Pelodiscus sinensis: one gene and its partners. The protein of the gene in region 1 interacts with the protein of each later gene in a biochemical or structural test. Links are inferred from orthologs where the notes say so. Each region holds a gene or a part of one and is shown in the gene's direction. Other genes may lie near its edges.

Evidence for each region.
Region 2: of the proteins of MAPKAPK2 (region 1) and ZFP36, one has a biochemical effect on the other in vitro, tested with the Homo sapiens proteins (2 studies listed by BioGRID). The link is inferred for Pelodiscus sinensis from reciprocal best matches to the Homo sapiens genes MAPKAPK2 and ZFP36.
Region 3: of the proteins of MAPKAPK2 (region 1) and ZFP36L1, one has a biochemical effect on the other in vitro, tested with the Homo sapiens proteins (2 studies listed by BioGRID). The link is inferred for Pelodiscus sinensis from reciprocal best matches to the Homo sapiens genes MAPKAPK2 and ZFP36L1.

The regions. Positions count from the first base shown.
Region 1 is NC_134737.1:5,841,778-5,851,262, reverse strand, and holds the start of MAPKAPK2 (MAP kinase-activated protein kinase 2), read left to right. Parts: upstream 1-3,439; 5' UTR 3,440-3,736; coding exon 3,737-4,009; intron 4,010-9,485. UniProt on the Homo sapiens protein: Stress-activated serine/threonine-protein kinase involved in cytokine production, endocytosis, reorganization of the cytoskeleton, cell migration, cell cycle control, chromatin remodeling, DNA damage response and transcriptional regulation.
Region 2 is NW_027465849.1:4,199,453-4,208,937, forward strand, and holds the start of ZFP36 (mRNA decay activator protein ZFP36), read left to right. Parts: upstream 1-4,784; 5' UTR 4,785-4,908; coding exon 4,909-4,944; intron 4,945-6,341; coding exon 6,342-7,337; 3' UTR 7,338-9,485. UniProt on the Homo sapiens protein: Zinc-finger RNA-binding protein that destabilizes several cytoplasmic AU-rich element (ARE)-containing mRNA transcripts by promoting their poly(A) tail removal or deadenylation, and hence provide a mechanism for attenuating protein synthesis.
Region 3 is NC_134714.1:71,499,122-71,508,606, forward strand, and holds ZFP36L1 (mRNA decay activator protein ZFP36L1), read left to right. Parts: upstream 1-4,591; 5' UTR 4,592-4,785; coding exon 4,786-4,842; intron 4,843-6,966; coding exon 6,967-7,917; 3' UTR 7,918-9,485. UniProt on the Homo sapiens protein: Zinc-finger RNA-binding protein that destabilizes several cytoplasmic AU-rich element (ARE)-containing mRNA transcripts by promoting their poly(A) tail removal or deadenylation, and hence provide a mechanism for attenuating protein synthesis.

The DNA.
Region 1 (9,485 bases):
ACAAACCTACAGTCCCTATCTTGTACGTAACCCGGGGACTGCCCGTAGTCTTAGGCCACATTTTTACTATAGGGAAGATCGACCACTATGGCGGTTTATCTTGCGGAATTTGATTTAGCGGGTCTAATAAAGACCCGCTAAATCGAATGCTGAGTGCACCCCCATCAACGCTGGTACTCCTTGATTCATGAGGAGTAAGGGAAGTTGACAGGAGCGTTTGCTTCCATGAACCTCCTCTTTTGGAGACGGTGCTGCAGGTCACATTAAGGGATGGTGACTCCAGCTACACAATTAACAGAGCTGGATTTATGTATCTTTATTCAAACGTCCAGTTAAGTATAGACAAGGCCTTAATTTCTGTGTGCTGTGTGCTTCAGTTACCCATCTGTACAATGGGTGTAATAGCACTGTCCTAACTCCAAGGGGAATTGTGAGAATGAAGACAGACTCTGAGGTGCTCAGACACTGTGGTAATGAAGGTCACATAAGTACCGGACATAGTCTTGGGTTGCGAGCTGGGACTGAGGAGATCTGTGTCTGTTCTTTGCTCTGCCATTCACTGCTTGTGACTTTGGGTAAGTTACCACAACTCTCTCTGCCTCATTTCCCACACTCCACATGAATGCTTTGCCATGTCACTGTTAGGCCTGTGCGTGAGTGTTGGTGAGAGCATCAGGCACTACAGTGATGGGCGCCAGAGAAAATCCTATATATGAATTAAGAGATAAATACAATTAGGTGTTATTAGTGACTCCAAAAAGGCATGGCTGAACCTTGACAGTGACTCTTCTATAGTCACTGCATAGCAAATGCTTCTAAAGTGCAGTCCATTTCACACCCATAAATGAAAAATCTCTGCCTTCCTTCCCTGTAGCCCCAACTAAAGAGCTTTTCATTGGCTCTCGCCAGATACCAGGTTGCTGAATGATAAATTGGCTCTTGGCAAGGATTCCTTATCTTTGTGGCCCAGTGCTGAGGTGTGTGAGTTTCTTTATTGAATTCTGGACTGAACATGGAAGCAGGTTAATCTGCTCTCCACGGGATGTCCTTTGAAGAACAGTTTTTTACCTCTTATCCTTTCCCTGACACTCCCGCTGCTGGCTCTATTTTCCATGTCTCTTGTCTTCATGGGAATTGATTGTAGATAAATGCTCATCAAAAAACCAGGGCATTTTGGCAAATGTAATTATTTACCCATTGACATTTTAATTTGTAATGTTGTGGATGCCTTCGGGAGACAGGGAAGAAGCTGAAAACGGTGGGAAGCTTGTTAACTGGCTCCCCGTTGGGAGGATCTGGAAGCCTGCGGTGCACTGAACTCTTGCTATGTGTTTTGGTTTTATCACATAAATTGCAAAATATCCCCTGATTTCCCTATTGCTCACTTGTCGCTTTATAGGGGATTCCTGGGTAGTACAAAAACAACCAAAGAAAATTCAAGGAGGCAAGATGGCTGATGATGTCCTAGGTGACCTCCTAGTACAAATAATCAGGCCCTCACTGCTGTGGTGTCTGAAGCCATGTCTTCGCTCAATGGAAGATCGATGCTGCCATGATTGATCTTCTGGAGTTCGATTTAGCAGGTCTAGTTAAGACTCCCTAAATCGAACTCAGAGGGCGCCCATGTTGGCATCCAGTTCTGTTGCTTCTGCAAGGAGCAAGGGAAGCCATCTGGAGTGTTTGTTGCCATTGGCCTCCAGCTGTGGGGATGGGCGGGAAACTCAAAACAAGGTACACCGACTCCAGCTACATAATTAACACAGCTGGACTTGCGTGGGACCACTTCATCGTGGTGGGACGACCAGCAGTGGCTCTAGAATTTCTGCATGAGGAAGGACACCTTTCTGGAGCTCTGTGAGTGGCTCGCCCCTGCCCTCAGGCGACAGGACTCCCTCATGAGACCCACCATCCCCTTCAAGAAGTGGGTCACCATCGCCCTGTGTAAGCTCGCTACACCAGACAGCTACTGATACGATGAGAACCAGTTCGGCGTGGGGAGATCATTATGCAGGTATGGCACTCTCTGGCTGTTGTCCCAGGAGGATGATGGAAAGAGGGTGGTGTTGGTGTTGGTGGTGGAAGCTTCCTTCCTGGGAGGTTTTTCAGTCCTGCCTTCATAAAGCCCTGCCAGGGGACGGAGTAAGTAGGGTTGCTAACCTGGATCAGAAGGGGTACTTTTTGATAATCCTGCAGGCTGTCATGGACCACCATAGTCATCCATGGACATCTATATCTGGTGGCTGGGTAAGGCGCACGACATTCATTATTCCAAAATAATGTTTCTGTGTACCCTTACTGTACCAAATGTCACTTATTTATCCACATATCCTTATTTTCAGAGGCTTTCCGAAACCCATCCTTATTCAGACAGCTCTCTGGTGTTGGTCTTTTGCTGGGAGGAGGAGGGAATATTTGAATGAAAGATTAATGGTCCTCTTGTATTTTGGGGTGACCCCTGTGAGTCCCAGATCAAGGCCAAAGGCCCTTCATAGCTCTCCTTTAAGCCCTGTTTCCAGATCAGAAGTGAAGCAAAGTATTCGCTCTGCAGAGGGGTCAGTTTCACCCTGTCTTTGTTATTGTCCATTCATGGTGAACATCACTGCATTTGAACAAGGCAGTGTGGGCACAAGCGGTTCTTATTCTAAATGTGTCTTCTCCTCCTCCCCTAGCACCAAGCAATCCCAGGCATCAGACAGGACCCCACTGTGCTAGGCGCTGCACCAGACACAGAATCAAAAGTCGATGCCCACCCTATATTTTAGCAGGCCCTTCCTGTTGGACTCCCTTGAACAAATTTCTCTCCAATCTTCTTGCTAAAGATTTCTCAGGCTGTCTCCCTTCCAGTAACTGAGCGATAGCCTTGTAAGCAGGGTGAGGACCAGGGGACTGACGTGACACTCAGGGTAAGATTAGGACTTGCCTACAGCCAATGGCACAGTTCAGATGTGGAATGGTTTGATGGGATGAAGGGGTCCGCCTCCAGGAAGCACCAATTTAATTGCAAATGTTTTATTTCTTAGGGATGGGGGGAGGGCGGGGGGACCCTCACGGAATCCTGACATTTGGTGATACTGGGACAGCTAGAGGAAAACTGGCAGGTCTGTGTGGGGTCGGATCACTGGGGGGAGGGAGAGGGGCAATCTTCCCAGTCTCCTCCCCTGTGGGTGAAGTAAACATGCCCCCAACCTTTGCAAATTTGTTACCTCCCCCAAATCTGAGATTCCTGCCCAAAGTTTAACTTCCCTCCCCTCCCCCTTCCTTTCTCCCTCCCACCCCATCGCCTCTCCTTCCCTTTCTCCTCCCTCCCCCGTATCCACGCCCCTGGGCCCGCCCCGCCACAGGGAGGCAGCCAATCCACGCGAGGCTGTGACATCAGTGCCGTGAAATTGACCCGGGGAGAGAGTCTGCTACATTGTAGCAATTCTTTTTCCTCTCTTCGCCTTCCAAGAGCGAAGCGGCCGGGTACAGGGACGCGCCTGGGGAGGGGGTGGGGGGGTTGAGGGGTGGGGGGCCCCCAGCAGCGTCTCCCCTTCAGAGAGCGGGGGGCTGAGCAGCAGTCTCCGCCCGGAGCCTTCCCTGGGACAAGGGGGGATTGTTTTCTCCCCCCGTTTCTAAGCGGCGGGGGATTGAGTTCCCCCCCCCTGCGCCTGTTGAGATCAAACTTCCCTCTGTGGGGGGGGAGGAGGGGACGGACGACAAGGGCAGGAGCCGCTGTGGCTGCCCCGGCTTTGCTGCTATGCTGTCCAACTCTCCTAGCCCCAACCCCCAGGTGCTGTTCCCCACCCCGCCTCCGCCGCCCCCCCCGCCGCCCCACCAGCACCCCCTGCCCCCGCAGCACCCCCCCATCCAGCAGCAGTTCCCCCAGTTCAACGTGAAATCAGGCCTCCAGATCAAGAAAAATGCCATCACGGATGATTACAAGGTCACCACGCAAGTGCTGGGTCTGGGCATCAACGGGAAAGTTTTGGAAATCTTAAACAAGAAGAGCGTGGAGAAATTTGCTCTGAAGGTAAGCTGGCGGCGAGGGGGGGGGGCGGGAGCTGGTGTGCCCCTCCCATCTTTTCCTCTTTTAATTCCACCCTTCTTATGTCCCCCTCCTCCCTCTTGGGCACAGGCTGTTCTTGTAGGAGTGACACAGAAGTGTCACTGTCTTTAGAGAGGCGGGCTTCTGAAGTTACTTGGGGGGGGGGGGCATTTGAGCCATGCTTGCTTGGTGTAAATTATCCCCTCCCTGGAATTGACGGGCAGAAAAGATGGTGCTTTAAATTCTGTCTAGGCAGATACCGCGGAGCGCCCGTGGTAGCCTCTTCCTCTGCTTTGGGTGTGGGCCCAAATCCCCCACCCCCTACGGCGAAGGTCTACCGGGGAAGTTCTGCCTCTGATATTTTTTTTCCGGAGGGGGAGGGGGGGGGTTGTTGGATGATCTAATCCTTTGCCTTTTGAACAAATGAAACTCAGCGTTTCATTCCCTCCCCCACCCTCCGTTTGCAAAACAGGACTTCCCAGCGACAGAGGAGAAACCCCCCAGTTAGGAGCTCCCCGAGGCCTGCAGTGGGATAGGACCCTTCGTCTTGCCTCTCAAAGAGTTGGGCTTTTGTGTGTCTGTTTAGTCGTGGTCTCCTTGGATCCACTGATCAAAGCAGTTGGTGTTCGCAGAGGGAGGGCAGGCCGTGTGCTCTGATTTCTTTTCAGATCAATTAGTTTGGTAAAAAGGCTGGTGGGAAGGGGAGAAGAAAGAGCAAAGAGATCCTCCTCCCTCCAGCACTTATGGCCTTGGGCACTTCAGTGATCACTGGAGGAAAGAGTGTATCTTGTCAGAGAAATAAATTCCGTTGTGGTTCTGAGAACACAAATGCCCCCCTCTTAGGTTGTAATGTCTTTGATTGTCCATTCCCCATTTTCTGTCTTCCCCTCCCATCTTTGCTGTGCTGGTTAGTGGTTTTTCTCTGTAAAGTCTGACTTGACTAGGCTTCCAAAGAAAGAACTTGAAATTTACCAGCTGTGCTTAGTCCCTGACAGGAAAGGAAAGGAACATTTTTTGCTGTTTTGTTATATGTAAATATAACAAAGAGAATCTGTTTTAAAGACAAGTGGTCTCTTGGGATGGAGTCAGAACCAGTAATTCAGTGGTTTATAGGGATGCAGTAGAGGAAAAAAAATGATATTGTGGAGCGTAACAATAAAAATCAAGACTTTAAAAAAATCATGGACTTTTAACAAACATACTTTATCTGTCTCAGCTGAGCGCAATTAAAAACAATGAGGTGGGGATAGTCAGTTTCACTTTCTGACTTTATTGCACTCCATTGCTGTGTAAACTAGTCTCATTAAGAAAGACACAATACAGTTGTGTGGCCTTTTAATTTAAGACAAAGCAAAACAGCATTGGGAAGGGATGACTTAATGACCTGAGCCTCGGGTTTAAACTCTACTGAAACCTCTGGACTTGTTGATTTAATCTAGTAAGTTTACTCTGTTGTGTTTTGTGGATGAGCCCTTTAAAATGCATGCTCCTTTACGTGGACAGTAAACTTCCTGTAGCGCTTTGTGTAAGAATAGATGTTTGTCTGGTTTTCCCTGTTCAGTAACGCCCAGTTGTTCTACCACTGTTCTTCTCCCCAGATGTGGTTACATTTGTGGTTCTAGATCTGTATACAGAAGTCCTTAACATGCATTTGATTAGAAGGTTTATCAATACATAAGGTATTGTACTAAAATATACTATTTTGCATCCAAAAAAATTTGATGGTTGCCCTGTTTTTTAATATATTTTTTTGGAGTGAGGAAGGGTATTTCTCTGTTAGAGGGAACCTGGGGAAAATGTAAATGGATTGTGATGGGTAATGCTAAGTATTAGGAGAGATGGGTACAATTTGTCTCCTCCAGTGTAGCTGAACATTGCATGTCTTAAACACAATTTGTTCCCACACGTTAGCTACTCAAAAGCACTATACGTTATCTTGCTTAATTGTGAAGATTTAAAAAAAAGCCTCCTGTTTTTACTGCATTTTTTCTTTTAAGCCAACATAACACCTTAAAGCCAACAAGTCACTAATCCTAAAAGAATACTGAAGAATTTCATGTAAAAAATCTACTTCTGTGTTACATATCCCCTTCAGAAATGAGGTGTCTGTGTGTGGGGGAGGGGAGATAAATCTTTAAGGCAAATACATTATCATAAGGAAAAGAAGTTCTTCAACTTACTCAACTGAATGGCAGATATTTCACTTTTCCCCCTCTGGAAATAAGGAAGTTTCTCATTAGTTGCACTATTACATTTGAGGAAGACAGTGACTTTTTTTTCTTTAGGTTGTAAATGAGTGGGATCAGACTCTGTTTTGACACTCACTTTTCTCCATTAATTTTCAAGTTGACTCAACCACTTAAATAGCAGTTGCTAACACTTCCCTGAGTGAAATAACAAAAGAAGGAGGAGGAGAGGGGAATGGCATATGGAAAGGCACAGCTTGTGTCAGCAGTCTCCCCATATCAAAATATTGGCTAAGATAAGATCATAGCCTCCTAGCTCTGATGAACTTGTCAGTACCGGAGTGGGATACTATAGACACATTCCGGATCTAAGTTTGATGTATTATTTATACAGTTATCCATAAAGTGATTTTAAAAATAGGGAATTTTTAGATAGCAAGAATTCAGCATAAATCATGGACTTTAGCTTTTTGCTTAGATCTCATCCCCTGCTTGTTTCACCAGCTTTTTACCATATAACAAGGGACATATTACGACCACACACATCTACAGCTGTCCATCTTATCTCCCTGCGCACGAGAGATCTCAGAAGGAATGAGAGAAAAATGGAATCAATTCACAAGGTCTAATATATTCAACTCTTCTTTGAATTTTTTCCTCTGAGAAGTTTTTTAAATGTTTGTTTTCCATTCCCCATGGTCTTATGGAGAGTTAGAGGTTTAGTGGAGCCATTGAACGTGCCAGTGTCAGTTCAAAGGGCAGCGCAGCTGGTGCTATAAGTGACTCCTTCTAGCTCTGTAGAAAATGCTGTGCTGTTAGTTCGGGGTGTTAGCAGACAAACTATACTCTGTTGATATCTAACGGACAAGGGTGTATGACAAGCTGTTTGTTTGTCCGGTGAGTTTTGGATACTTCCTGTCAAGATATAGGTCTAAAAGGTAAAGGTGTAGTGTGGATAGATCAAAATGCTGCTTTTTGTTCTTTGGCGGTGGATCTGTTTATAAACTTGTAGAGTATTGTTCAGAACTTCTGAATGACTCAGAATCATCCAACACAGATCAACACCATTTGTTGGGAAGGAGGCTTTTGTAAAGGGAAATCATGCCAAAGACTCTATTAGAATTATTTGAGGGGGATCAACAAACATATAGACAACAGCATTCCAGCTGATACAGACTACTTGGACTTTCAGAAAACCTTTGGCAAGGTTCCACGTGAAAGGATCTTAAGCTAAGTAGGCTGCCAAGAGGGAAGGGCATATCGTGGATTATTAACTGGTTAAAAGATAGGGAACAAAGGGTAGGAATAAATGGTCAGTTTTCACATTAGAAAGAGGTAAATAACAGGCTCCCCCAGCATCTGTACTAGTACCTGTTCAGTTCAACATATTCGTAGACAGTGGTACTATTTTGGGATACCGGAATAGCTATTCCGATCTTTTGAGTGCACCTGTTATTTCGGAGTAACGGGCGCACTATTCCAATGTCCCTGTAACCTCGTTCCGCGAGGATTAAAGGATGTTTCGGTTAATAACTAGTGCTTTATTTTGAAATTAACTCAAAATAAGCTACACAACTTGCATAGCTCAAATTGCGTAGCATACTGTGAGCTAAGGAAACAGTGTAGATGCACCCAAAGGGATCTCACCAACTGGACGACAAAATAATAGAAGTTTAGTGTTGAAAAGCACAAAGTAATGCCCATTGGGCGATATAATCCCAGCTGTACATACAAAATGATGGGGTCTAAATTAGCTGTTACCACCGAGGAAAGAGATCTTGGAGTCACTGGGGAAACATCTGCTAAACTGCGCAGCGACAAGCAAAAAAGCCAATTATCTGTCAGGAATCATTGGGAAAAAGAGTGATTGATAAGAAGACAGAAAATATCATAATGCCACAATATAAGTCCATGACATGCCCACACTTGAATACTGCATGTAGTTCTGGTCACCCCATTTCAGTAGAGTTGCCAGATGTCCGGCATTGGCCCAGACAGTCTGGTATTTGTGGCTTCTATCTGGTAAAAAAATCACAGAAAATACTGGACACATAAAATGTCCGGTATTTTTTGTTTTTCTTGGCTGGAAGGCCGCTTGGGACATTCTGGGGGGGGGGGGGGGGGGGGGGGAGTGTGTAGGGATTTAAAGGGGCCATGACTCTTTGTTTGGTCTATGTTTTCCCCCCTTCAACCAATTTTTTTCCTGTGGTGTTCGGTATTTTTTGTGAAACTATCTGGCAACCCTACATTTCAAAAACGGTATATTAACAGGCCCAGCCTTAGAGCAAGGTGAGCAAGGCGGTTGCCTTGGGCCCTGTGCCGTCAGTGCCCCATGCTGCCCGGTGCCCGGCTGATCGCTCGCTGCCCTGGCTGGGAGTCATCCAGCCATATGGTGTAGCCAACCACAACGGCCCTGCAAACTTTTTGGCCAGGCCTGTATGTTAAAGATGGAAAATGTACAGAGAAGGACAACAGAAATGATTAGGAGTATGAAAACTCCCATATTTGAAAGATTGGGACAGTACAGCTAAAAAAAAGGGAACACGAAGGGGGGAAACGATAGAGGTGTACACCTCTATCATGACTGGTGCGGAGAAAGCGAACAAGGGAGTGTTATTTACCCCTTTACATAACGCAAGAACCAGGCACCGCCCAATTAAATGAATGGGCAGCAGATTTAAAACAAACATAAGAAAGTATTTGTTCACACATTCCACAGGCAACCTGTGGAGCTTGTCACGAGGGGATCTTGTGAATGTCAAAAGCATGACTGGGTTAAAAAAAGTTACGTTAATGAAAGATGGGCTGGTCAGTGGCTATTAGTCGGGATGGTCTAAGTGTCTCAACCTCTTGACTGCCAGAAGCTGGCAGGGGATGGATCACTCAGTAATTGCTGTAGTCTGTCCATTCCCTCTGAAGTATCTGGCACTGGCCATTTTTGAAAACAGGATACTGGGTTAGATGGACTGTTGATCTGCTCTTATATTCTTATGACTCATTAGTTACATCAGTGTAAAAGGAATAACTCAGATACAAGGAATGATTGCACTTTCTGGTGACCTTCAAAAGCATGCAAGTGGCCCCATAGCAAGAAGCCAAAGGTGAAATTGCTTTGTGTTGCGTGCTAGGTTTGAAGACTAGCATTTCCATTCTAAACGTCTCTATTTACATCTCATGTTCCAAAAGGTCTTATGCATTAATACAATCATGCAGCGATGGGGAAATAATGGTAAATCCCATTAATATGAGAGACTTCTGGTTCTGCATGCTTGGGA
Region 2 (9,485 bases), on another chromosome or scaffold:
GACATCTCCAGCTGAGACGGCTCCTCAGATGTGTCATCTCACAAGAATGGCTTAGCTGTGTGGGGCTCTCCCCACTGCCTCTCCCTAAAATAGAGCAGCACAGTGGCTACTCTGCTCGAGGCCCAGTTGCAAATGGTCCCAGGGGCTTTCCCGGAAAAGAGGAAGAGCTGCGGTGCAGACAACATAAACACAGGTTTAGAACGTGCCGCTGGGGATTCCTGGGGAGCCAGCGAAACCTGCTTTGCTGGCCACATCCTGTCTTCATCTCTTGCTCCCTGGCTGTTATTCACCTCTGCTGCATTCCACCTGAGAGGCAGCTGCACTGTAACACTGACAGGACGGCTTCTGGTATACACAGGAAGCTAGATTCTGCCTTGTTTATGCCTCCCACCCAGAACCTGCACTCCCCTAGCATACTCCTGCACCCTCTCTCTCACCCAGACCCTGCACTCCCACACCACTCCTGACCCCTACCTCCCACCCATACTGGTCCCTGGCAGCCCCCCTCACACACTAAACCCCTCCTTTTGGGCCCTACCTTGGAGCCAAAAGCAGCCCCACAAAATCTACTATTCCCCAGCCCCCAGGGAACTTCAGGGGAGTTTTTTCCTCCTTCTCTTGGGGGCCAGGTGGGTTGCATTTGTTTGCTTGTTTGCTTTTAACTTTTCACTTGTGTGTGGCCCCCAACTGATTTTTCTGTGGATCAGTGGCCCCCTATCCAAAAAAGGTTCCCCACCCCTACTTTAAAAGCTGTCTTAAAAGGGCATGGGAGCAGGGGTGAAGAAAGGTTGGGTGACAAAAGTGTGAAAACCACTCAGACAGGTTTTTCTGCCTCCCATTGTCAACATTTTATGACCATGTGGCTAGCACCCTGTGGACAGATAGAGCAAAGCATTGTGGGTAAGCATCCCACAGCGCAGTCCTGCAGGAAGGCAGAGCTGATCCCTGTGCTTCTTGGGATTTCCTCCTAGCTCTGTGAGCAATCTGTGCTAAGGAATGTCAAGGCAGCACAGCCCTCTCTCCAGCCCCCCATCAGCTGCAGAACAGGAGCATTTAAATCATTTGCACTTTGTTCCCCAAAGGGAGCAGCTCACTCAGCTGTCAGATACTTCCTGGAGCTTTGAAAGGGGAGGGGCTAACGTCTGCAGGGCAGCAGCGCTCACAAACCACTGAGCACATCCATCACGGCAGGCACTGTGGGCTCCTGGCAGAAACCAGTTCTCTCCACAAAACAAACAGCAGAGGCCACGCTGGGTCTTCGCTGACAATAAAGGGAGGGAAAAGACAAAAGTCTCTCCTGGGGGTGGCAGCTTTGTGTTGCCAAAACTGGGTGTTCTTACTGACAAAAGTTGCATTGTAGTGTAAATGCGCTCACTGTTTTGTCGCCAAATGGCAGATTTTGGTGACAAAACATGCCAGCGTAGACAAGGCCATCAAATGCCCATGTCAATTTACAGGGGTGGACAGAAAAGAAGGGAGACTTTAGAAGCAAGCTTTTTGTACTATAGTAATTAAAACTAAAATGTGTATTTTAGATAAGGGTGGTCTTTTGAATGGTGTATTTAAAAATTTACATGTCTAATGATCAACGAATGTAAGGCTAAAGATGAATATTCCGATTTCATCCCAAAATATCTATGCAAGGACTTTTTAGAGATGTGACTTTTATAATCATCAGAAATACACTAATGAAATATTTTAAAGCAAATTTTAAACTAAGGTCTTATAGACTAACATGGTCTGAGTAAATATTACAATACAGGGCATCCCCACTATGTCACCCTAGTATACATCCGTTCCACACTGAAGTCGTTGACGATTGAAGGAACTGATGCGCTATAAGTCCTCTCATTCCCTGCTACAAGTCATGCGAAACACTTTCCTCCAATTTGCTTAAATGGAAGTCAGCCACGGGGAAAAAAATTCCCCGCTTTGTTTCACTATAAATCCAAGTTTTTTGGAACGTATCTTGGACTTGTAATGCACAACTGCCTGTTAAATGGTTCCACTGCCATTTGAACGGCTCTTCAACAATATAAATGTTCTGCTCATAAGTCCGGTAAGCTGAAAGGTTTTTCACTTTTAAATTTGAAGATTCCCCAGGCAGCAGCCAGATGTGGAAGCCTGCAAGAAGGATCAACCCTAGACAGTGGACACTAAGACCCAGGGAAAGCCATGTCTTCCCTTGACTCTTATACCCACCACCCGTGACAGGGAGGGAGGGACTTCCCCACTTGCTCGTTTGTTTGTTTCCAAAAGCGGTAATGTTGACCATGCACCTTGCTGCAAGAAAGGGGAACCCGGAGCCGAATTCGCTGCTTCCGGAAACCACCTGCTTCATGGGCGCTGGAAACAGTCCTTGGCTAGCAAACTGAGGGCCGAAAGGTGGATTCAACATAGGGACATGGGTGTTGGAGACCTGGGGAAAATTCCCACCTTCTCCTAGTCCCCACGGTGCTCTGGCTGTTCTCTGCCCCCCCAGGGCCCATAGGGCACAGATCTGGGCCGTGCCTGGAGCGCCCTGTGCTGTGGCTGTTCTCTGCCCCCCAGGGCCCATAGGGCGCAGATCAGGGCCATGGCTGGAGCGCCCTGCGCTGTGGCTGTTCTCTGCCCCCCAGGGCCCATAGGGCGCAGATCAGGGCCATGGCTGGAGCGCCCTGCGCTGTGGCTGTTCTCTGCCCCCCAGGACCCATAGGGCACAGATCAGGGCCATTGCTGAAGCGCCCTGCGCTGTGGCTGTTCTCCGCCCCCCAGGGCCCATAGGGGGCAGATCAGGGCCATGGCTGGAGCGCCCTGCGCTGTGGCTGTTCTCTGCCCCCCAGGGCCCATAGGGGGCAGATTAGGGCCATGGCTGGAGCGCCCTGTGATGTGGCTGTTCTCCGCCTCCCAGGGCCCATAGGGGGCAGATCAGGGCCATGGCTGGAGCGCCCTGCGCTGTGGCTGTTCTCCGCCCCCCAGGGCCCATAGGGGGCAGATCAGGGCCATGGCTGGAGCACCCTGCACTGTGGCTGTTCTCTGCCCCCCAGGGCCCATAGGGGGCAGATCAGGGCCATGGCTGGAGCACCCTGCACTGTGGCTGTTCTCCGCCCCCCAGGGCCCATAGGGCGCAGATCTGGGCCATGGCTGGAGCGCCCTGCGCTGTGGCTGTTCTCTGCCCCCCAGGGCCCATAGGGGGCAGATCCGGGCCATGCCTGGAGCACTCTGCGCTGTGGCTGTTCTCTGCCCTCCAGGACCCATAGGGCACAGATCAGGGCCATGCCTGGAGCGCCCTGCGCTGTGGCTGTTCTCCGCCCCCCGGGGCCCATAGGGTGCAGATCGGGGCCATGCCTGGAGCACCCTGCGCTGGGGCTGTTCTCTGCCCCCCAGGGCCCATAGGGCGCAGATCGGGGCCATGCCTGGAGCGCCCTGCGCTGTGGCTGTTCTCTGCCCCCCAGGGCCCATAGGGTGCAGATCAGGGCCATGGCTGGAGCACCCTGCGCTGTGGCTGTTCTCTGCCCCCGAGGGCCCATAGGGCGCAGATCGGGGCCATGCCTGGAGCGCCCTGCGCTGTGGCTGTTCTCCGCCCCCCAGGGCCCATAGGGCGCAGATCAGGGCCATGGCTGGAGCGCCCTGCGCTGTGGCTGTTCTCTGCCCCCCAGGACCCATAGGGCACAGATCAGGGCCATGGCTGGAGCGCCCTGCGCTGTGGCTGTTCTCCGCCCCCCAGGGCCCATAGGGGGGCAGATCAGGGCCATGGCTGGAGCACCCTGCACTGTGGCTGTTCTCCGCCCCCCAGGGCCCATAGGGCGCAGATCGGGGCCATGCCTGGAGCGCCCTGCGCTGTGGCTGTTCTCTGCCCCCCAGGGCCCATAGGGCGCAGATCGGGGCCATGCCTGGAGCGCCCTGCACTGTGGCTGTTCTCTGCCCCCCAGGGCCCATAGGGCGCAGATCAGGGCCATGGCTGGAGCGCCCTGCGCTGTGGCTGTTCTCTGCCCCCCAGGGCCCATAGGGCGCAGATCGGGGCCATGCCTGGAGCGCCCTGCGCTGTGGCTGTTCTCTGCCCCCCAGGGCCCATGGCAGAGAGTTGTGCCACAGGACAGGGAGCGTCGCCAGCCCATTCTGGCTGGCCGGGGACAGGACTCGCCGCTCCCATTGTGCAGGGCCCGGACACGCATTAGAGCAGCCCAGAGGCCTCGCTGCCGTGTGCGCCAGCGGCTGGGCGCGCGGTGCCCCGCTGCCTGGGCTGGGCGGCAGGGCTGCAGGAGCGAGTCCGCCCGCTCCCGGGCGCTCGCCCTGCGGCCCCCCGGCCCTGGAGCCTGCAGGAGGGGGTGGCGGCCTGGGCCGCGGACAGAGCGGCCTCTGCTGGGAGGAATGGAAACTGCGGAAAAGTTTGTTTCCCGGCCTCAGAACCCCCCCAAAGTTGGTGCCCCCGCAGAAAAGACGCAGCCCCCTTCAGCCGGGGGGGGGGGGATTCCCAGCAGGGCCGACCCCCGTTCCCAGGGTGAGCGGGTAGCAGCTTGTTGGGGGGGAGCAGAGACAAAGCCCCCAGTATCAGGACGGTGGCCTCCCAGGCCCGTTCCTAGCCCCCCCCCCCCCAGCAGTTCACTCCCTTCCCCCCCCCAGCAATTCACTCCACCCCCCCCTTTCCCCCCCCCCGGCTTCGCCCGCCCCCGAGCGCCCGGGTTGGTCTTTTCCCACGCCGGGCGCGGGGCCCCGGGCCCCCGGAGGGCGGGTTTCTCGCTTCCCATTGTAACGAGATGAAGTCATGGGAGGCGGGTCCGCGGCCGCCTTATATAAGGCCCTGCAGCCCGCCCGCCTGCCACAAAGCTCGGCTGAGCCCTGGGGGGTATTCGCGGACTCCCACCCGGGGAAGGAAGGCAAGAAGGAGCCGCCGCCCGCCCGTCGTCCCGCCGCCTCTTCAGCATCGCGATGAGCTCGATCATGGATGTAAAAGCCTTGTACGAGGTAAGCGGCTGCGGACCGGGCGGGACTTGGCAGCGCTGCGCTGCCCCCAATTGCTCGCGGGCTGGGCGACCCGATTGCCCAAAATCGGGGGGGGGGCTAGGAAGCAGCCCCCTCCTCTAAAAGAAACTCCTTTCCCCCCTTATCCCTCCCCTGGGAAAAGGCCCAGGCAGCTGCCAAACCGGCTCTACTCCGGAGCTGCCAATTCGGCGCGATTTGCGTCTCCACGGGCGAGTTTTCGCGCGGGCGGGAGGCGAGGGACTCTGATCCGGAGCAGCGCCCGGCCCGCCCGCTGGCGCGGTCCCTTGTTTCTAATGCCAGCTCCTCCCGAAGTGACGCCGCTTGGCTGGCGGCTGGCTCGGGGACCGAAGGACCCTCGCGAGCCACCCCCGGGGCGGAATCAGAACTTGTCCCGTCCCCCCCCCCCCCCGATGTTTGTGCGACTCACCCGCCGCTTCCCCACTACTCCGCTTTCGGTAAACGAAGCGTAGTGAAGCGGGGTGTGGCCGTGTGAACTCCATGCCCGTCCCCAGCTCCTCGCGCCGGGAGCGACCCCTGCGCCTTGCTGGGGTGGGGCTCCAGGGAAGGTGCCCCTCGCCCCTGTTGGGGGGGGGCCGAGACTTTCCCAGCGGCTAGGGAGGGGTTACAGTGACCTAGAATGGTGTTCCTCCCCGCCCCCATGGCAGACGGAGGGGCTGGGGAGGGGCGCGGGGGGGGGGGGGGATTTGGCAACTACGGGAAGCAGTGGAAAGTGAGGGAGGGGTGCATCTAGCAGGCTGTGCGTGGGGGCGGTGTTTGAACAGGGCTCCTCTCTGGATCAGTGGTGCGCCCCCCCCCTTGGAGTGGGGGGGGGCAGTGGGGAAGCCGTGGGGGGAGTGGAAAGAGTCAGGGAGAGAGGGCGGTTTCCCCGGGATGGTGCATACACAGAGGCTGGGAGTCTGCCTCCACCAGTTCTGTATTTCTCCCCCCCCGCGGACTTCTTGGGGCACCTCACTCTCTGCTCCCAGTGCCCCAGCACTCCTGGGGGCTGGCCCCTTATACTAGGCTGGCAGAAGGCCCCTTGCTTGGGGCGGGGGGGGGGGGGCCTGCCAGTATAAAAGGCCTAGTTGTGGCCAGGCCTGGATGCTTATAAATAACCCTGGCACGGTGCCATTCAGGGGCTGAGTCACCACAGAGCTTGGCCTCCTGGGAGGGGGCCTGGCACTGAGCAGAGCCAGGTGCTCAGTTCGATGTAGGCCACAGGGCCGTGCCCAGGGGCCTCTCACCCAGCCCCATGGGTGTCTGTGTCCTGTGGGGGGGGGGGTGGAGGGCATGGCAGAGCCGTGTGTCCCTAGCCTCCAGGATTGGGGTATCTGAGCTGGGCATTAATGCCCCCTTTTTCCTCTCCTTCTGCCCCACAGAACCTCCGCAACCTGAATCTGGGTGAGGAGCGGGATGAGTCCTTTCAGCGCCGCCATTCTGCCAGCTCGGAGCACCTGGGGGGCAGCGACACCCACATCTGGCCCCTGCGCACCCTCTGGAGCCCCAGCACCGAGCAATTGCTCTCCCTGCCTGAGCCAGCAGCCCCGCGCCCGCCCTTCCGCACCGACCGCTCCCTCAGCATGATCGAGGGCAAAGCCCTCCCACCCCCGCCCCCCGGCTTCCCCCCACTGCAGCCCCCGCCGGCCCCCGCCCTCTCGTCCCGCTACAAGACGGAGTTGTGCCGGACCTTCAGCGAGACGGGCCGCTGCCGCTACGGGGCCAAGTGCCAGTTTGCCCATGGGGCTGCGGAGCTGCGGAGCCTGAGCCGCCACCCCAAGTACAAGACCGAGCTGTGTCACAAATTCTACCTCAACGGCGAGTGCCCCTACGGCTCCCGCTGCCACTTTGTCCACTACCCGGAAGAGCGAGGGCTGTCCGCCTCCCCGCAGATTCTGCGACAGAGTCTGAGCTATACCGGGGTGCCCACAGCCCGCCAGGGCTCCCCGCCGCCCAGCATCCCCGACCCGGCCTCTTTCACCCGGGCTCCGTCCATCTCCCCGCCTCCCGCCAGCGAGCTCCTTGCATCCTCGCTCACCCATCTCAGCTCGGAGCCCGTGTTTCGCATGGCCACTCTGGGAGAAACCGTGGCCACCTCCCACTCTGGAGGGTGCTGCACCTGCCGCTGTGGGGGCAGCACCAGGCAGAGCATCTTCGAGAGTTCCCGGGACTATTTTTCTGCCGCCCCGGGGACGCTGATTGCCTCCAGCCTCCCCAGGACCCCCTCGTCCAACTCGCTCTCCGACCAGGATTGCTACAGCAGCTCGGGTAGCCTGAGTGGCTCCGAATCGCCTGTCTTCGAGCTGCTGCCCACTGCTGGGACCCGGAATAGTGCCCACCGTCTGCCCATCTTCAACCGCATCTCCGTGTCGGAGTGAGTGGCCCTGCTGCCCAGCAGGGGAGGGCGGAATCGGATAAAGGCCCAGGAGGGGGGGGCAGGACAAGAGACTGGGGGCGTTATTAGATGCATTGATGGGGCAAGTTTGCGATCTGCTCCTGGGTGACCCTCTGGGCTTGCCTCCAAGACACCTTCTGGACAACCCAACCCCTCTGGCTGCTGGCCCAGATATTAGGGGAGTGGGTGCCCATTGGGCACAACTGTCCAGCCACATGTTGGCATGAGCTACTCCTGTCTGCAGGTGGTGGAAGGGGGTTGGGGTGGCCTCCCCCAGTGTGGGACATGAGCTCCCCACAGTGGGGGTAGGACAAGCACCCAGATGCCTGCCAGGCAAGGCTAGCTCCCTGCCTGGCTGGCTGTAGCCATGCTTAAAGGAACTTGTCTCTGCTGCCGAGCATTAGCACTGATGGCTCTGCTTGTGCCTGGGGAGGGGCCCTAAATGCCCTGGCCACGTGCCCCTTCCGTCTACAGACCGTCATCCTGCCTGCCTTCCTCCCACTGATTGTCCTACAAGTGCCAGCTGATGCTGCCGAAGTGCCTTCCCCAAAATCCGTCGGGAGTGCTCACCTGCTGCTCCCCATGCCTCCCCCACTTCAGTCTTTCCTCTGGACTTGCCTTCAGTACGGAGGGTGAAGGGGAGCCCCTCGGGGCCAGTGTGCATCCTCAAACAGACTGACTCTGGGGCAAGCGGAGTGGGGGGTGCCCTTGTATGTGCTGTATGTAGCAGATTTGGGGGAGGACTGCCTCAGCAAATGGGGTTTCTGGGGGGGAACATTTGGCTCTCATGGTGCTGCTTTGCTCCCCCACCTTTATGGGGAGCCCTGATTTCATGCTGTGAATATTTCAGAAAGGGCTCCCTGATCTGGTGATTGTTTTCTTGGCTCAGATCCATCCTCTTTTTTAATCCCCTTTCGGGAGGAGCTGAGCAGGGTGAGCGGTGGGGGTAGTGTCCCAGCCCAACAGCCAAAGCATCCTCCAGTATCTTTGAAATAATGGAGTAAACGGATAGAGCTGTAGCCTTGTGCAGTGGGAAGCCTGGATGCTAAGTAGCCACATATACAACCTAGCTTCTGCATCACAAAGATACTCCAGTAACAGCCCACCCCGACTGTAACGTTTAACAAGCAAGGGGCGTTGTATGTGTTACTGGAGAACTTCCCCCAGGCTGGGACAGAGTAACCCTGGCTTCCGGACCCCTCCGATTGACTGGTGGTGCAGATCCCTTTGGGAATCTTACGCAGTCTGCCGTCATCCTGGGGCCTGTGAAAACTGCTGGACTTGGCTTGTATGAAACAGCTCTTTAAGTTGGGGGAGGGGAATGCACTAGTCCCCAAGACAGCCGACCGAGTTAGTGCAGTACGTAAGGCTGTGGCATATGTGGAGTATTTATTTTAGCGAGGGGGTGATAGCTCTGTTGCAAAAGGGGGGAAGGGGAATTACTTAGAGCAGGAAAGGTCTGAGGCCTTAAAGGGATAACAATCGGACCACCAGCCCGGAAGTGGGGAGTAAGGCAGCACTGAGAGCTGGCAGTTTGCAATCTAGGTGTGGCTCTCCCCCAGTATCCACGCGGGTCGGGAGGGCGGGGCTTCTGTGCCACTTCCCCATGTGAAGCTCACTCAGACTCGCCTGGCTGTATGGGCGGGTCGGGTCGGTCTCTAAAGTCACAGTGTGCTGGTCTGCCTGTGCCAGGGACCGACTCCGCGGCGGTGGGGGGAGGGGATGCCGAGTTTGCGTTGCCTACCTCTTGCACAAAGTGAGCCTGCAGAGTGCTCCCCTCTTGCTTGCCGGCATGTGGTCAAACTCCGGACCCCTCCCCAAAGTCTTAAAGAGGCTGCAGCTCTTTAGAACCACCTTCAGGGTTCCCCTTTGCCTCCGTTTCCCCCCCCCCCCCCCCCCAATCCCCCAGGCTAAAAACATACTTTTTCTTAAAGGCAAGCTATGGGTCTGGTCACATGACACCTGCAGCTTGGGCTTTTGGGACCTGCACTAAATATTTCAGCAACATTGGTATGCTGCTGGGATCTCCTGGCTGCCCTCTTGGCCCTTTCTTTCCAGCTCAGGCCCGGTGGAGATTTTTCATGTTCCGCTTGCGTGCTAACAATTCCCTGCTTTTTAACTCTGTTGCTGT
Region 3 (9,485 bases), on another chromosome or scaffold:
GACAATTTTGATATTTCTGAAAAAAACCAAATCCCCATAGTTGTAAGAACTAGAAAATCTTGGACTGTGTATGTTCCAAATCTTCATTTGGTTTAAATTTTGCTCTTTAAGCTAACCACTCATTATAGTCACTGAGAGTTAATCAGAGTAAGGACTAAGAAAAAGCTGAGTAAAGAACTCATAATTTCATCTTATGTGATTTTCTTCTCTCTTTTAACAATGCACTGTGACGTGAAGGTCTTATGAGCCTATCTGAGACAAGCATTTTGAAATAAAGTGTTCATTGGCTAAGAGACCAATTAGGCATCAGCTTAAATTTCTCTGTGCTGGCATCTTTGCCATCTAGCCCAAACAATATTACAGTGTACATCCATTTCCACTTTGCAAACTTTGGTTCTCTGCATTGAAATCTGAAACAAAGTGCACACAAAATGGGAACTGAACAGCCATGGGCAATAAAGGCTACACCCCTTGAAGACAATGATAAAACTCCCATTGAAGGCATCACGTCCCATGAAAAGATAAAGGTAATTCAGGAGAAAGGCAATCAGATCTGGTGGAGCCTTTGGATTGCCAACTTTTAACTATTAGCGATTATTAGAAGACCAGTAGAGGGGGTGGGGAAGTAATTATCCTACATCTGCCTCATGCAGGCATTTTCATCCTTTCCTCTGGAGCATCTGGTACCGGCCACTACCTGACATAGGATACTAGCCTACAGGGGCCAAACGTCTGAGCCACACTGGCAGTTTCCATGTTCCTCTGTGTGCATGTGGACTCGTTAACACTCATCTCTCCCTCTCTTTTTAAAATGGTGTCAGTGGGTGAGCTTGATCAGTAAGAAGACAAGCCATTGGCCTATGCCTGAATCTGTTGATGAAGGCTCACGTGATGGCAATCCAAAAGTAGCGCCTACAATAGAGGCCTACACAGGAAGAAGACCACCAATTTGACAGTGCTGGCTCCCAAGTCCATTTGCACCATCCAAGCTGCAAAGTAGGGTGTGCTTCATTGAAGAGCTACTGCATGAACTCCAGAGGGCACATTACATTCAAATGAGCACATGCATGTGTTTACTCAAGTTTGTGGTGGCTAGAAATGTTTCTTTTACTCTTTTAAAAATCAAAAGCCATAATTAAACTCAGTGCAAAAATGTGATGGTGATGTTATATTTGAGAATGGACACCGCTGTTTTTTCTGCCTCCAAAGAGGCATGCATAGGTGCACACACAAATTCCTAATCTGTGTGTGCATATGGCTAGTCTGGTTTGTATTTATCCAGGCACATTCTCAAAGGAGGGATTTGCTTGTGCACAAATCCAGGCATACCTCGTGGCTGAAAGTCAGGCTCTCACAGTCTAAATCCAGATTCCCTCAAAATTCTTACTGGACATCAGTGCAACCAGCATTTGATCCTACATGCACAAACGTTTTGAAACAGAAAGCTACAATTCCGATAGTAAGTACGTGTATATTGCAGTCATTTAATATAACGCACAAAATATGCGCAATAATGCTAAATATAATCGATGTACACTGAGATGAGTTGATTGTTATGGGGCATATAATAGAGAGTCCAATCCTGCATTTCTTGTGCACACAAACTCACATTCAAACCCGCATGAGTTCAGTGTGCATGGAATTCAGGATAGCGCCCACTCTGGCACACCTTCCACTCTTATCCCGAGTCCTTTGAGTAATCAGTATTGCTCTGTACACAGTACAGGCAATCAGATTCACTTATAAAGCCAGGCTCCAGGCAAAGTGGTCATGAAATAGTTATCTGTGTTGGCTTCCTCATTTGGACTTGGTAACCCTTGGAAAGTCCCTGGAATGACGTTTCCAACCTAACAATTAAAAAGGATTTAATTATAGAGAGGCTCAGAGCTCTGGGAACAAGCACCATCCACAGAGCCAGTAAACAACTGCAGAAAATAACATGCTCAAGCTGCTCTCTCTGCTGGTTGCTTCTCACTTCTGGCAAAAAACAAAACAAAAATGAATGAAGAAAGAGAAGGAAAATTAGAGGAACTAGTGTTCTAGCCTCAAATAAAGAATTAAAAAAAAAAAAAAGAAATCTGGAAAGGCCAGACTCTATGGGTGTTTGCTCTCACTTCGTTATTTTGGCTGCTCTTGGATATTGAAGGAGGGGGGGAAAGATCAGCAGCCAGGAAGACAAGCTTAAAGCCCAGTTCCTGAGACTGAAGCAAACAGAAGAGGAAATAGGAACAGGGATCATTTGTTTTACGTTTTAAAAGTGCTCTCTCTGAGGTGGGCTCGCACTCTGGACTCTGCAGTTAGGGTTTCAGTTCTCTGTGGAAGTCTGGGGCTACGTGAGGAAGCAGAATATTCAATACCATAGTGAGATGCATTTTAAGGAGGGGTTCATAGTCCAAATCTCATTCTGGATGGATTAACAAGGGACCAAATCCTACAGTCCTTCCTCTGACAACATTCTCACTCCCACTAACTGTAGGGCCAGTGTTGCCTGAAGAAGCACTGAAAGTTTTGACCCAACAAAAGTTTCACATTTAAGGAGCCCCACATTAGAAGCCTTGAAACGTAAGCTTCTTATAAAGAAACCGCTCCCCCCTTCCTTCCATCAATATCAGTATACATAATTCTTTGTGTACTAAAATCTGGAATCGATTATTTGCTAAGAAACTTTACTCCTCTCCCCAGCTTTATGATTTAAAATTGCTAAAAAGTGCCCTTTGGGGACTGGGTAAAGAATGGAGGGCAAAGGGAGAAATTAGCAAACACCACTTTCAGGACTAAACACATATTTTAATGATTTAAATTAATATGGATGTGAGTTATTTCCTTTCCAGAGCCTGCCAGGTTTCAATAAAAATTGGAAAAAAGTGGTAAGAGTAAGAGGGTGGGGGATGTGAATCAACTTGAAGACAGTCAGCCTGCAAAAATGCAAAGGCAGCAGCAATGTTAAAAATGGATTCAATCAATTTAAATCAAAGTAGACAAATCCAAGCCAGCCCAAACTGGAAACAACGCTTTCTACTTGTGAATACAATGCCCAGTTCAGCTGTAGCCCTTAGAGCTTAAACCATTAAAGTCTAAACAGTTTGTGAGTGTTCTGGGGTTTTATTTTACATGGATTAAATAAGTTTTTGTTAAAATTTGTTCAGGGAGAGGAAAAGAATCATACTCTTATTTTGCCCTTCTAAAGAAACGTGCTTATAATTAGGTGACCTAATTATATTGCAATGGAAAATACACTTAACACACACATTGTTTCATAACAGATCGAGGAGTTAAAAATGTTGTGGAATAAACATCTGAGGTCCGGAATGGGTGAAACTTACTGTAAAAAGGACGAGGAGGCGACAAAGGACAAATGGAAATATATAGGAAAGAAAACAACAGTTTAATATTTCCACTTCAGTCTAGTATTCCATTTCAGAGCTTCAGAGGGGAAACTGATCAGCTTTTGCAAACCTGTTGCTTGCCTGATGCAAACAGCAGATAAAGAAGTTTATGGGTTGTTTTTTTAAGTCGGTCTGTCATGGTTCAATCAATGGGTCCCGCTTTTGTCTCTCACTCCCCCAAAAGAAAAAAAAAGGAGTGAAATCAAACCTGGATGGACTGAAAAACCATGTATTACATTCAAAGAGGCGAAGGGACAGGAGCACAAAATGCAACGGGCACTCACGAAGAAAGCGCAGCCCGCGCAAACACAAAATTCAAGGGAACTGAAAGGGCCTTGTTTTTTGTCCGTGCTGTGGCTTGCTCTCTGATCGCCTTCTCAGAGATCAACGTAAATAGATGTCTGCCAATGTGTTCAGTCAGAAGGAAAGCTAAGCCGCTGAAAACTAGGTCCCTGCTTACTGGGGTTAAAAGACTAGTTCTCATGGGGGAGGGGGGCCAACCCATAAGCATGCAACTGGTGTCCAGCAGGGAGCAGAGAGATTCGATCGGAAAAAGCAAACGTTCCTCCCTGTTTCACAGACCCGAGCGCAGGCTGCCCTCCTCGTCAGTTTCACAGTAATTACAGCTGGGAGACAGGCAGATGAGTCTCGGAAAAGATCAAGTTTTGTTTTGTTCTTCTGCTCGCCCGGCCCGACCACAAAGTACGCAGCTGCTCGCGCACGCACCCTGCCCGCTCTCCGGCGGGCTGCGAGCTGCAAGGGAAGCGGGGGAGCTGGTGGGGGGGGGAGGGGGCGCTGCACAGACTCAGCTCCAGGCCTCGTGCCGTTTGCAAAAGCTCAGTGCAAGCCGAGCGAGGGGGGGGGGGGGCGGATTCGCATGACGTCACCGCCCATTGCATAATTCCAGCACTCACAAAGCAGCGCGCGCCCTCCCCCCCCCCCGCCTTCTAATCACAACCAAGTTGCACATGCACGCGGGGGGAGGCGGGGCACTCTGCAAAACTTTCCTCCTCGCACCCGAGCGCGGCACTGAACGGGCTCGGGCTTTGCCCCCCCCCCCCCTCTTCCTCTCGAAAGTTTTCTCGGGCCTGGGGTGAGTCAGTGCGGATGTCAATCATCGCCCTCCTCCGCCCCCTCGGCCGCCTGTCAATGGGCCGCGAGCTCCGCCCCGGCCGGCCTGGCCGCTCGCAAACTTTATAAATCGAGTTTAGGCGGCGCGGCGGGGGAAAGCGAGCTGGGGCCGGAGCCAGGCGCGGCGGCGGCGGCGGCGGAGCAGGGGGGGAAGGAGCCGGAGCGGGGCTGGAGGCTGTGCCTTACTCACCGCGCCGCGATCCCTTGCGCCGGCTGCTGCTGCTGCGCTGCCACCCTCCTGCTCCCCCTCCCCCCGCGATCGCCCAGCATGTCCACGGCTCTGGTGTCTCCCACCATCTTCGACCTGAGCGAAGTGCTGTGCAAGGTACATGGGCTCGTGCGCGGGAGGGGCTGCCCGGCCCCGCTGCCCCAGACCTGCCCCTCCAGCGTGGGCGACGGGGGCTGGGGTTGCGCTGCGAGTTGCGCTGGGGCGACACTTTGCTCGCCAGCCCTTCTGGCGCTCGCCGCGGGCAGGGCGCGTGGCCTCGGCGCTCGTACGGCCCTCGCTGCTTGAAATGAGTCTGGTCCCCACCCCGCCCCGCCGGGCTGATCGTGGCTGGGTTGTTCCCCCGCTCTCTTGCTAGCAGGGGCTAAGCCAGTCCCGGCGGACTTGCGCAAGGGCGTGACCGCCTCCTCGGGCTGGCTGGCTTTTGGAAACCGGCTTCTGCCGCTCTGCGAAAGCTGTGCAGAGGTACTCGGTCGTGTGGCCAAACTGCTGCGTTCCCTTCCCCACCGTCTCCTTCGCCCTCCTCCCAAAAACCTCCAGGCCGTTGCCTTTGATGTGTGTTGAATAGTTTCAAGCCTCCACTGCCAGGAACCCGAGTAGCTGTGTTCAACTGGTGAAGCACGTTTCTCGTCTCCCTGGGCTTTGGAACTGAGACTTTTAAACGCACTAGAAACGCAGATTTTCCTCTTTCGCGTGCTTATGCGTGTGTCAAGGCAACCCCTGGCTTTGGAGAGCTGTGTTACGGGGGGGAGTTGATAGAAGGAACTCTGGGAAGCTTTTTCTTGAGGTTTTTGCGCGGCCACTTTTAATGGCTTAAGTTTTAGGCTGCTGCTGTAACGTGCCTGCTTCTTGTTTGCTATGATTTTTTTCCCAAGCTAGCTCTGCTTCTACAGTTGCACATTTACTTTAGGGCAAAAGGATCTGGGTGAGGCGGTTACTGTAATAACCTTTGCAGGCTAGTGTGCTGCACTCTTGCAGTTTTACTTTTCTTTCTTTCCTCCTCTTCAGATCAGCTTTGTCCCCCGTGCTCCTCTGCAGCCCCATGGATTTATCCTTTGTGTAGCGAAATTCTTTCTAAACATTTCTTAGTTTATAAGAGCTGATTTAAAGAGGGAGAAAAGTACTTTTTCCTCCTACTCCTGAGATTTTTTCCCCATGGTTTGAAATGATCGGCATAGAATGTTTACAAATAGAAATTCTTGTCTGACTCAGTTTTTGTATGTTTACTTAAGAGTTGACAATGAAGCTTTACTATTAAAACAGGGGTAGGAGTTGTCATTCAATATGTGAGAGCAAGGGCTATGCCTCCCCTTTTTAAAAATAACTGTTAAATCTGCTTTTCACACAGTAAGTGCGACTGTAGCAAACCCCTATAATTTCTCTCCCCAAAAGAGGAGTTTTAATATTTAAAACTTGAGTCTGCAGCTGAAGTAACTGGTTCCTGATCCCTGCCAGACTTTCCTTGCAGCCCAAAGGCTAATTGCAAAGGAATCCTCTTGTGGTTAAGAGTGAAGACTGGCCTGGATCAGATGAAATGCCATTGCTGTGCTGGAGGACCAAGAAATGAGATTAATTTAAATCAGTAATTAGTACACTTTCAAAAAAGTCTTATGCATTTACCAATTTGTGTCTCATACATAGGGTTGTCCAAGATAATGTTTCTGCACTCTTCTGTAGTGCAGAAAAATCTACAATTCTAAAAGCTTTCTACAATAACCTCCAAACTTAGAGAGGTCTATGGACAGGGAGGAGTAACTTGAAAAAGAGATGACAAGAAATACTGGTTCTTGGGCCTGAAAGGGGTCCTGAACCTGGTGGAGATGTGGTTGTGGGTTTGGCTGTGAAGTGGAGTGGGCAGTTACTTCGCCCTAGGGGAGGATTGTATACATTTTGTAGAAGAATAGTGGGTTTGGCTCTTGCAGACACAGCACTAGGTATGGGTAGGTGGGGCACCCAAGTTCTTGCCTAAGGCTGGGAAGGTTATATGTATTGCAGGGTCATTGTGGGTAGGTGGGGCACCTGTGGTCCTTACATGGCACCCACTGCCCCAGGCAACAGGCTGATTAGCTGTTCTAGGAAGTGGGCTATTTGAAGCAGGGCTATTTTGCAGAGAGAGTGGGGCTAGCTTTGAGATCCGAATGGATGTGGTCAGTTTAACTGGGATTGAGCTGCAGGGGAGAGCTGGAGCAGACTGGGTGACTGTTTCTTGCTTTCTCTTCACAGAGTAACAAGATGTTGAACTACAGCCCTTCAGGTGTTGGAGGGTGTCTGTTGGATAGGAAGGCAGTGGGCACCCCAGCTGGCGGGGGTTTCCCCAGGAGGCACTCGGTCACCTTGCCCAACTCCAAGTTTCACCAGAACCAGCTCCTAAGCAGCCTCAAGGGGGAGCCGGCCCCTGTGCTGGGTCCTAGGGAAAGCCGTTTTCGGGACCGCTCCTTCTCCGAAGGTGGCGAGCGCCTGCTTCAGCAGAAGCAGCCCGGGGGACAAATCAACTCGAGCCGCTACAAGACAGAGCTGTGCCGCCCCTTCGAGGAGAACGGTGCCTGCAAATATGGTGACAAGTGCCAGTTTGCCCACGGCATCCATGAGCTGCGGAGCCTAACCCGCCATCCTAAGTACAAGACAGAGCTGTGTCGCACTTTCCACACCATTGGCTTCTGCCCTTATGGGCCCCGCTGTCACTTCATCCACAATGCCGAGGAGCGCCGTGCTGTGGCCGGGGGCCGGGACCCCACCATTGCTGACAGACCCCGCCTCCAACACAGTTTCAGCTTTGCTGGCTTCCCCAGCGCTGCTGCCAGTGGGCTGCTGGACAGCCCCACCTCAGTCACCCCACCACCCATCCTGAGTGCTGATGACCTTCTGGGCTCTCCCACCTTGCCAGATTGTACCAACAACCCCTTCACCTTCTCCAGCCAGGAGCTGGCCAATCTCTTTGCCCCTAGCTTAGGGGTGCAGGTGTCCAGTGGTGGTTCACCCACTGCTTTCCTCTTCAGGCCTATGTCTGAGTCCCCCAATATGTTTGACTCGCCCCCAAGTCCTCAGGACTCCCTCTCTGATCAGGAAGGCTATCTGAGCAGCTCCAGCAGCAGCCACAGTGGCTCAGATTCACCCATCCTGGATAATTCAAGACGTCTTCCCATCTTCAGCAGACTCTCCATCTCTGATGACTAAACTGGGTTTTCCTTTTGCCCTCTTCCCACCTCTATTACAATGCTAAGCTGAAATACCCCCATCCCCCTTAATGCCCCCCAATTATCAGGGTTAGGTGTTAACATAAAGGTTGTCCACTTGCCTGTAGCTGACTCACTGGCTTAAACCTTAAGTGCCAAATTACAATAAAAAGCAATAACCGTTTACAAAATTAGTGCCTTTGAACATTTTCACTGTGACTGTATTACCTCTCTGGCTGCAGAGGGCACCAGCAGCCTCCTTTAAAGCTCTGTGCACTTCCAGATGTGCGGGAAATATCCAGAACCAAGTGCTCCCTCCACTGGCCACAATAATGCATTGTTTCTACTTCCCTACCTTCCCATTGGCCAGTCTCTGCTAGACCTATGGCATGTGGACAGCTGTTAACATCCAATCCTTTTCCCCTTTAAAGACTAATCTTGCCTGGATCTGCTCAGGTCTGCAGGAAGAAAAGCTGAGAATGGACAAAGATTGTAACATGAGTGGGACTTGTGATTGGGGGGGAAAAAGCCAGATGGACTATGAAAGACTTGATTTTGGTGCTAAAAGTTCCCCATGTATATGTGTGACATCTTTACAAACAAATAAAAATAGAGGGGGTGGGCTAATGGAATTCATTCCACACACGCAAGTTCCGTGTATTCCAAGTTCCAGTAGACATAGCTTTAATGGTTTTGCTCTAGAGTACATTAGATCTATCTTAGAGCACTCACGCCAAGCTTTTTATTATTTTTTCTGGGTTTTTAATTTTGTATAACTTTTCAGAAATTGGAGAGCAAATTTTGCTTGTCACTGCACAACAATATAAAAAAGCTTATTTAACTTATCAAAACGTATTTATTGCCGAAACCTATGCTTTTTGTTAATTTTGTTCATATTTATCGGGATGATGAATCCATAGAATATATTCTTTTATGTTTAAATTATGATCTTCCATATTAATCTTAAGATTGTGAAGTGTCTTTTCCTTTCCCCCCCCCCCACAGTTTAATATATTATACTACAATGACATTTTTGTAACGTTACACTTTGGTTATTTTATTTTAAAAAAATGAAAAATTAATTTAAAAAAATGCAAAAAGTGTGTTTGGATTATTTATTTTAGAATGTCCCCCTTTTTTGTGTTGGACTGCAAATTGAGTTAATGTACTTCTTTGCCTTTCCTCTTCCTCCTTCTCCTCCCCCCCCAAGGTCATACACACCTGGGCTTTAGAATGTATGTGTATAAGTTCTGTTGTAAGACAGTATGGAAAGAAGACATTTTACTTCCTCTTTTTTGATAGCTTCTTAAGAGAGACAAAAGCCTTTGGCTTAAAGTGCCTATTTGAAGACATTCCAAATGCAGTTTGTCTTTGCCTTTTTTGTATTCCAAGTTTGGAGTTTTCCTTGTTTAGGTGAACGGGACTGGCACAAAGAAAACAATGAATGTAATTTTTCCCCTGTTACTGTTCACTACATTGCTTTTTTTCCTCTGTAAGTTTATTTAAAAAAAACTCTTTTGTAACGACTGTTTGCAGTTTAAATCAATAAACCCCAAGTTTTTCAAGAAA